Cricetulus griseus: one gene and its partner. The protein of the gene in region 2 purifies or fractionates together with the protein of the main gene of each other region. This does not show direct contact. Links are inferred from orthologs where the notes say so. Each region holds a gene or a part of one and is shown on either strand. Other genes may lie near its edges. The genes, in order: Magi1 and Rapgef2.

Evidence for each region.
Region 1: the proteins of Rapgef2 (region 2) and Magi1 purify together in Homo sapiens (co-immunoprecipitation; 3 studies listed by BioGRID and IntAct, with this or other methods). This does not show direct contact. The link is inferred for Cricetulus griseus from reciprocal best matches to the Homo sapiens genes RAPGEF2 and MAGI1.

Annotation. Positions count from the first base shown.
Region 1 is NC_048601.1:50,147,549-50,151,367, reverse strand, and holds part of Magi1 (membrane-associated guanylate kinase, WW and PDZ domain-containing protein 1), read right to left. Parts: intron 1,919-3,819; coding exon of another isoform or gene 1,830-1,918; intron 163-1,829; coding exon 1-162. UniProt on the Homo sapiens protein: Plays a role in coupling actin fibers to cell junctions in endothelial cells, via its interaction with AMOTL2 and CDH5. May regulate acid-induced ASIC3 currents by modulating its expression at the cell surface.
Region 2 is NW_023276806.1:75,177,675-75,181,493, forward strand, and holds part of Rapgef2 (rap guanine nucleotide exchange factor 2), read left to right. Parts: intron 1-550; coding exon 551-762; intron 763-847; coding exon 848-971; intron 972-1,525; coding exon 1,526-1,549; intron 1,550-2,577; coding exon 2,578-2,801; intron 2,802-3,819. UniProt on the Homo sapiens protein: Functions as a guanine nucleotide exchange factor (GEF), which activates Rap and Ras family of small GTPases by exchanging bound GDP for free GTP in a cAMP-dependent manner.

The DNA of each region.
Region 1 (3,819 bases), on a different chromosome or scaffold from region 2:
CCTTCACGTGTGCCCGCTTTTCCCCATGTTGTGATGATTTGTGAAGATCGGGTGGGTAACTGGACTCCAAGGCTGGATGCGGTCTGCGGTCAGGCGGCCCGGGCCTCACTTCCGGAACACCTTGTGCACCGGTGGAGGGTCCGTTCCGGTCGCTGCTGGGGTCTGCCAGGAAGAGAAATAGGACAACAGTTTAACATGAAGGTCCTGTGGCTCCTGGCCCTGGTTCCCTCCCACACTTGACTCATTAGTCACAAAAAACAAACAACTGTTAAAGCAGATTCCAAGCCAACTGAATCTTGGTTAATTTAAATATTACTGCAACTAGTAAAGATTAAAAACTAGCAGTATGGCTTTCAACATCTAGCTGACTATTCCCCGTACCCTGAAGACAGGCCATTATAATGGAAGGGTCTATCTAGAGGTATCTGAACTATGGTACCCTGACCCACACCTATTCTTTCTTGGCCACCCATCAGCCCTTCCCCGTTCCCCCCCAATACCATTTTATTTGTGAATACTTGTTCTGCTTAAAATTAACCTAGGACACAGACTTGGATGGGCATGAGGAAAGCTTTCTGGGGGTTAGAAATAGTCGCTGGCATATTTGAGTGGTGATCTAACAAGAAGCAGGGCAACTGGCTGAGGATCTGCATGTCATACAAAAAAACCATACTTCTACTTTTAAAAAGTGATTCAGAGTAGGGGGTTATCTAGGCTTGAAGGTCCATTAAACTACTTCTTTTACATTTAATTATTTTCTCTACTTTCAAGTAAATTTTTTAAAAAAGGAACTGTATTAAAAAAAAGCTTTCTGCCAGATAAAAGTGAGAGGGATGGGTTATTAGGTGCTTGAGATGAGCTGGGATTTACAAAATCTCTACATTTAAAAGCACCTTTCTTTATGGTGTGAGAAGCAACCATAACAATATGCAAGAGCTGTGGGGCCATGGGACTGCTCCTTAGCTCACTCAGGCATCTACAGATCTAAAGGCTGGACAGCCCATGGCAAGTCCCATTCATCATTAAACTATCTGAACTGACACTACAGCCATTTAAGGCAGCATCTTGAATTTATGAGAGCCTTTGCAAAGTGGGATGTTCTGTTGCAATGATAAACCCATCAAGTTTTAGGTGCCCAAGCTGCTGAGCTGCAACATGGGATACTGGGTTTTATCAACACCTTCCACAGAGACAGCCAGGACAGCAGGAACCAGACGGTCTGTCTAATGAAAGATCTCTCCAAACCCAGGATGAGTTCAACAGAGGGAGAGCTAGAGCCTAGAGCATGAGTCCTCACAGTCTTGGTTCTTCTTACTGGAGAGGGGGTCTGCTATCACTTATTTTGGGTCAGCAATCCCTCTTTAACTTGACCACTGTGGTGCAAAAACATTTTTTAAAAATGGGTGTGCTATATGCCAGTAAGACCTTATTTACAAAACTGGCTTTAACCAGGATTTGGTTCACAGGCTGGAGTCTGCTGAGAGATACCTCAACCAGGAAATGTCCTCTTCCTGTGCAGCAAAGCCTTACCCACCAGGGGAGAGCTCCATGATGAGCCCCATTCTCTCTAAATGCTAAGTGTGCTACTGGGACAAAGACAAAGGCATTCCACATTTGGGGGAGAGAAGCTGTCAATCTAACCTATGATCTTATTCTATTCTTGAGACAAGGGAGAGCAACACTTCAACAGGGTTAGCCATGTACTTACAATTCAAAGAACGCAGGGTGCTCAGAATGAATTGCCAAACATATCAAAATAGAGCTAAGCAGAAGCAATGAGGAAATTAGGCCACAGCACAGAAACACCTAGTATTGATTTAGCTACAAACCGTAGTTTGATTATGGCCCATAAGGTAGAAGCAAGCCTCCCCGAGCTTTTCATTTCTCATACATGCAGCGATATTAGGAGGTATCATCGCTGTAGAAGGGAGAGCCCAGCACCAAGAACAGTCAGAGAGAAGGAGAAAGAGAGAAAGAGAAAAAGTTGAACATTTAGATTCCCTATAACAAGAAAGAAAGAAAAAAAATCTTCATTTGTTAACATAGGGCAAAGAGAGTTTATTTGTCCAGTCAGTCTAAGGCAACACCCAAGGCTGCAGAGACCGTAATTGGAACAGTGATGATTTTAGATAGCTGTTAGATGACTTGAAAACCAGATGATGATGCATCCTTTTGTTTTTTTTTTTTTTTTTGTTTGTTTTTGTGATTTTTTTTTTCAAACAACTGGAACAATGACAGGCTGGCATAGGAGAGCATTAACAATAAACAACAAAAGAACAAGGTCCCCACCCACCACCCCAATACCGCGGCAGTTAAATTAAGTACAAAAAACTCATTACAAAAATAGCCTCACAGAGAAGCAGGTTCCAGTCAAGTCAGAAAAATATTGGAACTTAACATATTATAACCCATTTGTAACTCTAATCAATAGAATTAGAGAGATTTAGTCCAAATGACGCATGGAAACATTACAGTAGCACAACCCTGGCATGTTCAACCCTTTGTGGGAAACCATGTATTTCAATGATCTTTATTTTTAGCCCAAGGAACATTTGTTAGTGTTGGATTTTCATCCTCAGTGCAACAGACATAGGTTTGGAGAAGATACACAGGTTACTGACGATGACTCTCAAATGAGATCACATCCAACAGAAGCATAGGGAAGACAGAAAAGGGAGACATGTTACACAGTTTCAGTGGTATCAATAAACCTAATGGTCAGAGAAGTTAAGCACAGTGTGCAGCCATGGCACCTGATGTCGTCATTAAGGTTCCCTCTGATTGGACACCCACCCTCCCCCTTACCTCAGACCCCTCCCATTGTGCACCCGTTCCAATGTTCAACACCTGGGAAGGCTGCCCTTCGAAGGAGCCACTCTCCTCCTTGAACTATGTCTGAAATTGAGCTTCTCACTGAGCCCAAAATGCATCGGGGAATTGTGCAGAAAGACCTTCAGAAACGAGGGTGATAACAGATAAATCCCGAATAAAGGGGACCAATGTATATGGGGATCTTTCAATCACAGTTTCTATAGAAACTTTTGTAGACCTTTGGTTGGGAAAAAAAGCCCTACATCTAGGGCATAGCTTCCTTTTTTTTTTTTTTTTTTTTTTTTTTGCTTTTTAAATTTTAAACAAGAATCTCAAATAAATAGGACATAATTATCACAATATACACTATTTTGCCATCAGAACACTAACCTAGGCAAAGAGCATTGCTGTCTACTCAAACTATGATTAAGATACGACAGAGGAACTCTACGTATCACCTGGCTTTCCTCATAGGAAAGGTATAGTAACAGGTTTCCCTCATGATGGGCACTGGGAATCTATTTCATCCTTTTTTAAAGACATATGGCTAATAGATCAACATTTGTTTGTTGTTCTTTTGATAGTGTGGGCTCAGGTGGTCTGGCTTGGGGTAAAGACCAGTTGAGAGGGACAGAGAACTGTTGTATACAGAGTCTAAACAAAGTGAGCAAAGCCCCCCAATAGCTCAGAATTTCACACCTCTGCAGTAAAGTAACAACAAAAACAAAACAAAACAACAAACAAAACAGAGCAAAACAAACAAAGAAACAAGCCCAATTAGATATTGTGCCTCAACACCAGTCAGGCAACCTGCTTCCTTAAAGGACTTTGTAGTCATTTGTGCTAACAATTGGATCTGAGAGACAGTTTGGCACAGTTCAACAAACATTCCTTCGCTCTTGGTCGGACTAGACAGAATGTTCTCTCTGATTATCAAAAAGGGGGCTATCGAGATCTTGTCTTAGGCCATGCCCCAGTCCATGTAAGCAAGCAAAGGATGAAATGTGT
Region 2 (3,819 bases):
ATAATCCCCATACTTCAGGAGGCAGAGTTGGGCAGATCTCTGTGTCTGAGGCCAACCTAGTCAGTCATCCAGCCAGGGCTACAAGCAAGACCCTGTCTCAAAGGAAAATAAACAAAACAGAAGGGCCAGCTGACAAAGAGGTGCCAGCTGCCAACCCTGGTCACCTGATTCTATTCCCTGGACCCACATGTTAGAAGGGGGAGACCTGACTTCTGCAAGCTGTCCTCTCACCTTTACATGCTTGCAGGGACCCGACCCCCCCCCCCACACACACACACAGGCACATGAATGAATGAATGAATGGATGGATGGATGAATATAAAAAATGTTAAGATAGCATAAAGAGAAGAATTATAAAGGCAAATGGTTTGGTTCTGACCCTGCTTTTAACTGCCACTCACTACCCAGGCAGGTATGGCATGATGATCTTAAGCATTCTATGAATCTCCATGCATGGAAAGTTCACACACATAGGTGCTTTGCTATATGTCTTCCTTTGTTTGAGAGGGGTCATTTAATCATATCTCACTCTTTTTCTCTCCCCATTTAGCGGCCTAAACTTGGCACCAGTGGCAAGACTGAGAACTACCTGGGAAAAACTTCCCAATAAATATGAAAAGCTATTCCAGGACCTACAAGACCTATTTGATCCTTCCAGAAACATGGCAAAATACCGAAACGTCCTGAGTGGCCAGAACTTACAACCTCCTGTAATCCCCCTCTTCCCCGTCATCAAGAAGGACCTCACATTCCTCCATGAAGGTGAGTACAGGTGGGCTCTCTCTGTTCAGGTGGGATCACAGAATGAACCCTGTGTGACTTCTTCTTCCTCCTCCCTTAACCTCAGGAAATGACTCTAAAGTAGACGGATTGGTCAACTTTGAGAAACTAAGGATGATTGCAAAAGAAATCCGTCATGTAGGCCGAATGGCCTCAGTCAACATGGACCCTGCCCTTATGTTCAGGACTCGGTGCGTGAGTTGTTGGCCATGGCATTTTTGGGTTAGAATAGTTAGAGTGAGCTTGCCCATGGTAGGAAAATCTGAATACTTAACTTCAGGAGTTACATTAGGATGTGCTGAGAGAATCACCCCCAAGGTTCAATTTGTAATGATGTCTCTCATTTTCACCCAGGGCACACATGATAGTAGTGCAAACAGCTTGTCCTTCAGAGAGTTTTAATTGAATGTTAGGTGCAAGAATTTACTTCTTATTTTCCAGAACACTGAGTCGCAGAGTTAGAACTTGTAATCGGTAGTATGAACATCATAATGTCCATACAGTGTGTTTATCTGACTGTAAAAAGCAATGATTAGTTCAGTGGAGGGAATGAACAAAAGTGTAGGCAGCAGCCTTTTAAGCCAGAGAGATGTTTTGTAGTGGATGCGTGTGAGGTGACTATGCAGTTAATGTTTGTGGGCTTCTAGAACTGCTTGTCCAAAAGTCTGGTCCTTTCTTTCTGAGCTTGTGATCTTTCTGTCTCTTTCTACACCCATGCTTCAATCTCCGTGGCTCTCACTTGCAGGAAGAAGAAGTGGCGGAGTTTGGGGTAAGTGGCAGAGCATTTGCACACTTGGTTCTTGCTCAGCCTGTTGCATTGTTTTCTTATCTGCTCTGTTTTCTGATGCTTTGCTTTTTTTTTTTTTTTCTTAACCCTCTTGCTCTATCAGAATTTCAGATGCAAACTGACTTCAGATTTAATCTGTTGGGGCTTTGCTGAAGTCAGGTCCATAAGAGCTGTGAAATGATTGATGATTATTCTGGAAAATGATTGATTATTCTGGGAAAATGTAGACCAGAAATATTTCTTGGCTGTCAGAAAGATTATATTTTAATATAATTTGTGTGTTTTGAAATGAAAAAGCCAAAGAAGTGGGGAAGGGAAGCATGCTTTTAGAAGGAAGAAATCGTGCAACTAAAAACACGATTGCACAGATCCAGAAGTGAATGTGGTGGTGTTAGGCACCCCCACTCCCTAAAACCAAATTTTCTACAGCTCAACTAACTACTATTTTCATTCTATGTAAATCAGCCCCATTTAAAAAATAATTTTTAACAATTCATATACTAGTTTCCATACATATGTTTATGTTTGCATGACAGTTGTATTAACAGATTGACTGTTTTTAAAACTTGTACATTCAACCCACAGAGTAACAACGCAATTGTGAACAGTGTAGCTGAGTTTAATTAAGTCCATATAAAATGCCCCCATTAGGAGAAGCAAATATAATTTTGTTAATTGTCACTAGGATCATTCAGTGTCCTTGCACAAGCTTTTATATGCAATTATGTTTTCTGGCTTCTGTGAGAGAACGGACTTTGAATGCTCTGTGAGATGAAAAGAATTTGCTGGTAGGAGCAGAACATTTGCCAGGCATATTTGTGTATATGTATTATGTATAATTCCTTTTTTAACCAAATCTTGTGTAATCTCTGTTATTCTGCATTCCCCTGTATCAGTTTACTTACTGGAATGGGGCATGTGACCTTTCAAGCATAGAGTCTTTACACAAGTCTGGTAGATCATCCAATACCATGCTCCAGAGAGTTGCATTCTTATTTTTCATCTTCCAGGTCGCTGAGCCAGGGCAGTGCGAATGCCACAGTGTTGGATGTTGCTCAGACAGGCGGACATAAAAAGCGGGTACGCCGTAGTTCCTTCCTCAATGCCAAAAAGCTATATGAAGATGCCCAAATGGCCCGGAAAGTGAAGCAGTATCTGTCCAACTTGGAGCTGGAGATGGATGAGGAGAGTCTTCAGACACTGTCACTGCAGTGTGAGCCAGCAACCAGCACTTGTGAGTACCTCCCCAGATCAACTGCAGATTGTTCTGTGTATGATGGTGGTGGCGAAAGGGGTCTTCGAGCAAAGAGGCACACGGTGGTCCTGAGATATACCGTGCTTGTGCTTGACTGGGTCTTGGTGTCATTAAGTTAGTGCAGCAAGGGGACACTGGGCTCATATCTCCTTGCCTTGATTTCATCTGACACAGCCAGCACCACAAGCGAGGGACATGGAGGTGATTGTGGTTCCAGCTGCATGCCTTTTTTTCTCACAGAGGAACTCCTAAAATGACGGGAAGCCTGGTTAGGGATCATCAGGTCAGGATGTGCTGGCTCTGGGTCTCCCTAAACTCAGACAACCAGCACCTGCCCCTGAAAGCAGTGATCCTGGTATGCAACACACCACATCTGAGCCCAATGTGTAGGTTCCCAACCTTGAAATAACTGGCCAGGCTGTGGCACACGTCTACAGTTCCAGCCTCTGAGGTGGCTAAGGTTGGAGGATCACGTGAGTTCAGGGTTTCAGTTGACAGCCTGGACAACATAGTGACATGTGACTGTCAAAATGAATAATAAAAATGTGGCCAGTCTGTGTGGACACTTTCCTTTGTGTCTGTCTCTATATGATAAGGTTTAAGCATTTTGCCTTTCGGACACTTTGGGAACTTTGGGGCAAATTTGAATTATATCTTCTTGCTAATTAAAAATGTGTGAATGATAATTTGAGAAGATCACATGATCCAATCTACCAGGGCATAGGACTGGAGAGATGGCTTAGTGGTTGAGGAGCACTCATAGTTCTTGCAGAGGACTATGTTCAATTCCCCAGAATATATGGTAGCTCATAACCATCAAAAACTCCAGTTTCGGGGTCTCCAGTGCCCTTTTCTGGCCTCTGCAGGTTCTAGGCACACACTCAGTGCACATCCATACCCACAACACTATAAAGGTCCCATGTGACATGACGAAGAGCTTGCTTAGATGAGCAGCTTGAGTTTCCTAGCTGTTGATCTCTGAGGTCTGCACGTGAAG